Linked DNA regions of Arabidopsis thaliana. The protein of the gene in region 2 purifies or fractionates together with the protein of the main gene of each other region. This does not show direct contact. Each region holds a gene or a part of one and is shown on either strand. Other genes may lie near its edges.

The links. The genes of interacting proteins can lie anywhere in the genome.
Region 1: the proteins of LFR (region 2) and THO7 fractionate together in Arabidopsis thaliana (co-fractionation; one large-scale study listed by BioGRID). This does not show direct contact.

Annotation. Positions count from the first base shown.
Region 1 is NC_003074.8:664,685-668,935, forward strand, and holds THO7 (Tho complex subunit 7/Mft1p), read right to left. Parts: upstream 2,239-4,251; 5' UTR 2,105-2,238; exon of another isoform or gene 1,913-2,104; intron 1,788-1,912; 5' UTR 1,756-1,787; coding exon 1,156-1,755; intron 1,058-1,155; coding exon 947-1,057; 3' UTR 539-946; downstream 1-538. Other genes in the region: AT3G02960 (Heavy metal transport/detoxification superfamily protein), read right to left, coding at 2,561-2,847, 2,940-3,033, 3,166-3,341, 3,670-3,844, 3,934-3,942. UniProt on the Arabidopsis thaliana protein: Acts as a component of the THO subcomplex of the TREX complex which is thought to couple mRNA transcription, processing and nuclear export.
Region 2 is NC_003074.8:8,162,301-8,166,876, reverse strand, and holds LFR (ARM repeat superfamily protein), read right to left. Parts: upstream 2,937-4,576; 5' UTR 2,863-2,936; coding exon 2,670-2,862; intron 2,573-2,669; coding exon 2,403-2,572; intron 2,320-2,402; coding exon 2,186-2,319; intron 2,089-2,185; coding exon 1,832-2,088; intron 1,633-1,831; coding exon 1,527-1,632; intron 1,434-1,526; coding exon 1,295-1,433; intron 1,204-1,294; coding exon 1,076-1,203; intron 988-1,075; coding exon 732-987; 3' UTR 527-731; downstream 1-526. Other genes in the region: AT3G22980 (Ribosomal protein S5/Elongation factor G/III/V family protein), read left to right, coding at 3,561-4,576. UniProt on the Arabidopsis thaliana protein: Involved in leaf and flower development. Plays roles in leaf development partly by associating with AS2 and repressing KNAT1/BP transcription. Required for the formation of anther cell layers and normal expression of genes that regulates anther development.

The DNA.
Region 1 (4,251 bases), 7.5 Mb from region 2:
GCCACCTTCTTTTAATGGTAAGGTGGAATATTTTTGGAATATATTCGTATGTCTAATCTAAAGTATAACTTTAGTCTTTAGAGTCAAAGCAAAAAGATAACATTAGAATTTCTAGTGTAAATTAAACACTCAAAGTTAATTTTTAGTGTTTAAGATTAAGACAGGAGAGACTCAAGTAAAATAACGGAGAAACGTGTGTTAACATACGAACACTAATGCTGCTCAAATATTTCTCAAGAAAATAGAAACCTACAATTACGACAATAAAGCCTATTTGGCTAGTCGGTCGCATTATTATTTTTTATTAATAATTAAATATTGCCAAAAATCAACATTAAGCTTTGCTTGTGGATATCGATTTGCATGAAATATTCATTATGCAATCACACTTGTAAAAATTATTCTCGACACCGAAAATAGAAACCGCACCAACCAAAATTAGACTACATTTTTTTTTTTTGGGGGCAAATTAGACTACATCTAAAACACACAAAAACCTCAAATGCAAAACCATAAATATGATCGGGCAACCCAAACCTATCGAACCAAGTCAAAAGCGGAACACTGTTTAATTTCTAATTTCTAAGCCGGTTCAAAAGCAAACCCGTCACGACGTAATTAATTTATAGTAAACCACCTCGGTTTAATTGAATCAACAGTTCAGCCTCGGTTTGGAGTAAAAAAGTACATTACCAAGAAATTGGTATTTCTTAACCGGTTATACAAACCATAATTTCTTAAACATCTGCATTTTACAATGATACAATCTTTCTTGCATCTGCAAATTTGAAAGAAACAATCTTTGTTTCTCAGTTCTTCTATCCGAATCACAGGTTTCAGTATACTGAGCTGCCGCAGTTTTGGTTAACATAGGCATATCAGAAACAGGAAACAGATGACAAAGCAAACGCTTGAAACATGATGCAGGTTTTATCGAGATTTGGACTTAATCAACAGACATAGCGTCGGTTATGTTCCTCTGATCTTCCGACGCTGACCGAATCTCGTCCACCAAACTCTTCTGCTCATCTTCCATTGTGTTCTGCAACTCATCCACCTACATTCCCAAAAACGTTCACAATCACAAACTCAAACTTCAAACATAGATCACGTAATGAAGACTGAAACGTAAAAGGTTCGGTTTTTTGACATTACCACATGCATCAGGAGAGCAAACTGCTTCTTCCTTAGCTCAAGCAATCTCCAACTTGCAGTGCTCTCTGCTTCAAGCTCAGCAATCTCCTTGTTCAATTCATATATAACCTTCTCTGTCTCTGACCTTGGCGGTTGCGCAGAAATCAGTTTCCTTATCGTCTCACACTCTTCTTTATGCTGTCTATCTATTTTACTCTCCTCAAGCTGCTTCTTTAGATCTTCAATCTCAGCTTTCGCCTGCATTATCTGCCTTTCCGTCTCATCTTTCACCTCATTAAAGCTCTCTTTCTCCCTAAGGTTTGCTTCCACAACCGCTTGGCTCTTCAGAAGCGGAATCTCGAAAGTTGACAGTTCCTGTAAAAAAGCTTTGGCAAGTCTACCGCAGTCGTTATAGTTCTCTTCTTCTTTATCCACCTCGAGTACAAAAGAAGTGAACTTCTTCTGAAGTTTCTTCAATGGAGGCTCGCCTCGAGTGGTCGTGGTTCGGGTTAGAAGCCGGTTTCTTATGATTTTGTCATCGTCAACAGGATCAAATGCATAATTAACCTTAGTTACTACAGTCTCTAATCTACCAGAAATTCTCCTTGCTTTAACTGACATCTCAACTTACTTAAAAACCTCTTAATTCAATCCTGCAAAGGCAATGCACAAACAAAGAACATTCAACAACCAAACAATCTTAACCTACAGAAATAAAGCTAAGGGATACATATTCAAGCTTGGATCTAAATAGCAGAACTGAAACATAAAGTATTACCATTTACGCAATAAATCTCTCGATTTCTTATTCTCTTCTTCAATTTCTCAATCAAACTTAAATAGATTTTCATGAGCATTCATCATCAAAATCTTAACTGTTATTTCATTGATTCGTAAGCAATTTCTCAATCGTACCATTCGAACACAATTTATGGTACAAAAAAAAGCAAAAGGTTAACTCTTTACTTACTTGAAGTGACCCCAGATCCAGATTCGTCTTCTGCTATCAAAAATTGAGCAAAACAGGTCCCTTTTGTTCAAATTTTGATGAACCCTAAAAATTGAGACAATTCATCTTCGTCCTCCCTTGTCTTTTTCTTTTTGGGTTAAATGCAACAAGTACTCTCAACTTATATTATATTACAAAATAGACCCTAAGTTATTAAAATATAATATATACCCACATTCTTTTTTTTTATACTCTAATGCCCTGTTAATTTTTTTTTACAAATAATTGTACAAAAGGCCCACAACTACAAACATAATCTAGTAATCGAGTATACACATGACACCAAATCTTACTTTCATAAAGTGTCACTCAAAAATTAAATTAAATTAAAATCTATTGAGATATAGAAATGTGTAGCAAGGAAATCAAAACCATAAAAGATAACTTAAAAAGACTCTAATTTTACGGGTCAAAAAATCACATGATTGAACAAGAATGTACATTTTCGTCGCTAAAAATCTGAGAGGGATAAGCATGTTGAGATGAATACTGAGGAGGGTAACTAAAGATTTTGTTTCCATCACTTTCTTCCTTCTTATTATTGTTCTTCTTATTATTGTCTTTGCCTTTCTCTGTAATTTGACTTAGAAGCTCTGCATGTTTCCCAAGTTTTTTCTTGATTTTCTCCACAAGTTTTGGAGGATCCATGACTCCTCGTACCACTACCGTTGACTTTGACCGGTCTGGTTCCACCGATTGAATGCCTTTTAATTTGTCAAAACAAACAAACATATTCTAAGTTGTTTTTTTTAACTTTCGATATCGTATTATTTCTATATGTATATACAAAGATTACCTTTTATTTTTTCAATGCCTCTTTTGATTTCATGAACACATCCTTCACAGTGCATGTTCATTCTTAAAATTGCAGTTTTGATCTCGGGAGCACTCTAAAATCATGCAAAAAATATTTAGAAATGATTAGATATGTTAGTTGTTATTCTCAGATTAATTAGACAAGGTATGATATAAATGAGAGTATATATCTAAGTTCTAACACGAAATAATTGGAAATAACTTACTTCTTTCTTTTGCTGTGGCTCCTTCTGATCTTGTTTAGGGTTATGTTTTGGGGAAATCATCTCAGCATTTCTACTAAATTTCTTTTGCACTCTTCGTAATATCTTCAACGGATCATCAAATTTTCCAGACACAACAACTTTATTGTCTCCTATCTCTGTCTTAATATGCTCAACCCCTATAAGACAAATAAGATAATAGCTACTTATGAGTCATGAGTAAGAAGAAAAAAACGGTAATCCTATTTTTTAATTGATGCTTTAAGAACTAGAGATTACTATTCGTTATGTCATTGTGGGAATTAATAGACAACTTCTCTAGATTACAGGAAAGAAAAATAAAACTGAAACCAGACTAGATAATGCTTAAGTTAAATTATAGTACAATTTCACTCAATGATAAATGATTAAATATTTGACATTGATTCTTATGATCGAGACCATATATATATGATTCCATTAAAGAGGGAAAGTAATCTAATAATGTTTCTTTTAATAGAGTATTACCATCATAGCCCCTCAAGCAATGAGAAACTTGTGATGCACATCCTTCACAGTGCATGTAAACCTTCAGAACAATTTCTTTACATTGATTTTTCTTATCAGACTTATCGACTGATGAATCTCCATTTTTCTGGTTCTTCTTTTCAGACTTGTTGTCTGATTCTCCATTTTGCTTGTTCTTTAGAACCAAATCCAAAACACAAAATATAAGTTCACATAATTTACTTAACAAATTACTGGAATTACCAAAGACAGGAATGCACATACCTTTCCCATATCAATGTTTACTCCTTTGTACGACAAGTGCAATGAAAAAGTTGAATAGTGAGACTCGATATATATAAGGTCAGAGAGGTTTTACGATCAATTAATTATTTCATTTGTAACATACATAAAATTATTTACTTCTCAATCTGGATGATCCTATTTGTTTACAATGAATAATAATTCTAATATTCACTAACAGGATTGATGACAAAGAGACAAATAATTTTGTAACGATCATTAGTAAATTAAATTTCAATCGGGACTTGTGTAACTTCTTATTCAGTGTCCAAATAAGTACACTATTCATTATTCCGATTT
Region 2 (4,576 bases):
CCACTATCTTGTATGAACATAAAGAAAGAAAGATTGCAATAACTTGATTTTAGAGTTTAGTTTTGAGATGAGTTGTCTCGAAATACAGGTATGTGTGTTTAAAGCAACGGTTATATATTCTTTCAACTCCATAATATACCAAAGAAGAAGGTTACTAAAATCTTCACGAAATTCAAGTTTAGCAAAATATATGTGGAATACGCAATTAACGTTTGTAGAAATGCTCTAGTTCGCGTTGTAGAAAGTTGTTGGTCACAATTTATGGGTTAATTAGGTGGTTAATGGTTATGGTTGTTCAAAATATAATTATGTTCTACTATACGAACCGAATCCAAATAAAAATGTATAACAAGAGAAAACGTCTCCTCGTCTACAAGAAAAGACACATTGATTTTGAAGAAAGAGTAATAATAACAAAAAATGTAAAGACAAAACACTGTATTATGTGTGACTTAATTCTTGTTAGTTTATTGTATAGTATATGAATATGATTAACCAATACACTATTCTAACGTCAAAACGTGATTATTTGGGTTATTTTATTTTCAATTTGAATCACAAAATATCTCAAATTTGTTTTTAGTAAAGATCAAACAAAACACATGTCGAAGCTATGCGAGAGAAGAATCCATCTACTTTTTGTTCAACAACACTGCTTTTTTAATACATAGCAAATGATTAAAGTTTACAACACAATCAATTAATCAAACCCACTAATCTAGAGAAGACTTTTACATGCCCCAGATTCCTCTAGCTGAAGCAACTCTGCTATTAGATCTAGCAGTGAGTTCATACAAAATCCTAGCAAATGAATCAGAATACTTACCCTCTTGAAAAAGCAGCTCAGCGAAAGCATTCTCATACGCGAGTAGCAATCCTCTGTTTTGAGGCTCCGAGACAAGGTTCTCAAGGATCATTGCAGCTTTCCTACATACTTCTGGAACCGGATGCGGAGTCTTTATCACTTTCAGCAACCTATCAACCGCCCTGAAAAAGATCATAATGGTGTGTCATTGTTGCGATCTAAAAACAGTTTGATTGTATTCGATAGAGAGGGAGTATAGTTTTTGTTTACCATCTCTCACTTGCTAGCTTTAATCTGCAATCCATGTTAACTTCCACGAGATTGTAGAGTGCTCCAACAGCTGCAGCTTGTGCATCAACGGCTTGTATGCTCAAAAGATCGATTAGTCGCTTGTGTATCTGCAAGGGATAGGTCCATTGTTGGGTTTAAATACTAGTTAAAACGAGTAAGTAGCCAGAAACCATATGAAGATTATAGAAGTTAACAAACCTGCGGAATTAAAGGACTAATGAAAGGTTCATTGTCCGGATTGATTATCAAACGCCCTAGCAACTCAGCAGCAGCACAATTCCAAGCTTTGACAGAAGAATTGAGGATTCCGACCACAGCTTGAACAGCTTTCTTTTCACTATATGCACAAGAGTAATGAATGATTCACATTGGTATTTGAAACAAGTTATGGATTGTGTAACTAAGAATGCAGGGAGATACAACTTCTCACTTTATGTTGATGTATGACTGCTTAAGCGAGCTGAAAATTCGAAGATCCATCAAATGCGCTAGGTTTACAATTGTCTCTAGCGAGTTTGTGACCAGCTCTTCATCCTCTGTTAACAAAAGATTGTCTTAAGACCATAGTTCCCAATCAAGTATCAAGCAAATAAGGAAACAGAGAGAATACATTCAAGCCAATTCAAACCAATAAGAAATAAGAATCTATCAGAAGCAAATGTAAGGAATTATAACTAGTAAAAGAAACAAAAAGGTTGGGATTGTATGTATCAAAACATTAGTATTCTTCCTTACCGGTCATATGATCGTGTATGCACTGGAAAACAGTTTCTAAGCAATGGCGATGCTGAGCCATTACAACTTCATTATCAGGCATGAAGGAGAAGTTGCGGATAACGTTCGATGCAGCAATAGCACACATTTGTTTCTCTGATCTCCCTTCATCGTCTAGATTAAACAAACCATCCTCTTCCATCCACCACTGAGATGACTGATGTTTACCAGTGCTCTTTTTTCCTAATGCCTCAGCAGCAGAAGAACCAATCCCGGATCTGCTAGGCCAAATATTAACAACACTTAGGTTCTAATTCTAAATATAAGCAACAATCATTTAAAACTGTAATCAAAGCAGTATCGAAATTAGCTCACCCAGGGGGTTGAATAGAGGCTAGAGCATCATACTCATTGCCAAATCCCGTAACTGAAGCATTTGTACCTAAAGTTCTAACTCTAGTTCCTCTTGTCAGGTCCTTTGGGAGAGCTATGTCACGCCAATCATCTATCTGCCAAAGTTTTAGCATCATGTTGGTTCAAAGAACAGAGAGGAAAACACAATCCCAACACCTAAACAATTAAATAAACTCACAATTAAGAGAAGGGCATCAAGCAAGCCAGCTATCTTAGCAAGAGGCATGACATCTCTTCGAATATCTTCTTTTTCCTTGAAGGAAAGCAACGTAAGTGTGTTCAATGCCCATGTCACCTCACTCTTCAAACCACTCTGCAACGCAAGAACTATTCTTCTATTGTTCTGCTCTATAAATTCCAATGATCCCAATGAAAATTACCGATTAAAAACTCGTTCACAAGAAGAAAACAGAGAGGAATTATAGAGTGGTCATTGCGAGCTTACCGACGAAGGAATTGTGAACTAGAAGAGAAGGACCAAGTAAAGCTGACGGTGACATCGCGTCCGCTGCTGCCGCCGCTGCAGCAGCAGCAGCTGAGTTAGCACTTGTACTACCGAAGGGACGGCCTCTCTTCGCTGGTGGACCCGAAGATCCACCGGAATTACCGCCGGATTTCCCAAGCTCCCGTTTCTGCATCTCTCTCTAATTTGGGGCTAAAGTTAGGGTTCGGAAATTTTGACCCGAAAGATTTATTCCGGTTTAAAAGTCCCAAGACGATTTAAAAATTAAAATTGTTTAAAGAGCACTAAACACTTTTTGTGAGTCAGAGGGTTTCGGTACAATTGAAATTAAAAACGTTTTAGACCGGTTTATTCCGGTTGAAGAGTCCGAGACTATAATTAAAATTGTTAAAAGAGAGCACTAAACCGTCTCTCTGGTTTACAGGGTTCCGGTTTAATTAAAATCAAAAACGTTCACGTCTTCTTGTATATGTTTATACAGACAAACTTGCAGAGGGAAATCGCCAAACCCTGCGCCGCCGTTGTTTCGCCGCCGAAGCAAGTTTCGCACCATTCTTCTTCAAACGTCTGAGCTCCATCAACTGATTAAGGTGATTTTTTTACATATCACTCAATTTTTGAATCGAACTTTTTAAAATATTATGGAATCTTCAAAGAGCATCTCTCTCGTTTTTATCTCTCTTTGATTCTTACGAGACGTGCACAACTCTGTGGATTCGATTCAAAAATTCGTGAGCTCTCACACAAGGTTTTAGGATTTGGATTATGTTTTGTTGAAGTTTTCTCTACTAATTTGAATCGCATCGATTCTGATAATGTAATCCTTGTATATATTGAATCTGCAGGTAGCTGTGTGTTTTGTAAATTGAAGAGATGGATGAATCTGAAGGTAGGAAAGTTAGGAACATATGTATACTAGCACATGTAGACCACGGTAAGACGACTCTCGCCGATCACCTAATTGCTTCTTCCGGTGGCGGTGTTCTTCACCCGAGACTTGCCGGGAAGCTTAGGTTCATGGACTATCTAGATGAAGAACAGAGACGTGCAATCACGATGAAGAGCTCTTCGATTTCTCTTAAATATAAAGACTATTCTTTGAACCTGATTGATTCTCCTGGTCATATGGATTTCTGTAGTGAAGTCTCAACAGCTGCTCGGTTAAGTGACGGTGCGTTGGTTTTGGTTGATGCTGTTGAGGGAGTTCATATTCAAACGCATGCTGTGTTGCGTCAAGCTTGGATAGAGAAGTTGACTCCTTGTTTGGTGCTTAATAAGATTGATAGGTTGATTTTTGAGTTGAGGTTGAGTCCTATGGAGGCGTATACTCGTTTGATTAGGATTGTTCATGAGGTTAACGGGATTGTGAGTGCGTATAAGTCAGAGAAGTATTTGTCGGATGTTGATTCTATACTTGCTAGTCCTTCAGGGGAGTTGTCTGCTGAGAGTCTTGAGTTGTTGGAGGATGATGAAGAAGTTACTTTTCAGCCTCAGAAAGGTAATGTAGTATTCGTGTGTGCTTTAGACGGGTGGGGTTTTGGGATTGCGGAGTTTGCTAATTTTTATGCCTCCAAGCTTGGAGCTAGTGCGACTGCGTTGCAGAAATCGTTATGGGGTCCTCGTTATTATATTCCTAAGACTAAGATGATAGTAGGGAAGAAGAATTTAAGTGCTGGAAGCAAGGCGAAACCAATGTTTGTGCAGTTTGTGCTTGAGCCTTTGTGGCAGGTTTATGAAGCTGCACTAGATCCTGGTGGGGATAAAGCCGTTCTTGAGAAAGTTATCAAATCTTTCAATTTGTCTATTCCACCACGCGAACTTCAGAACAAGGATCCAAAAAACGTGCTTCAATCGGTGATGAGCCGTTGGCTTCCTCTGTCTGATGCAGT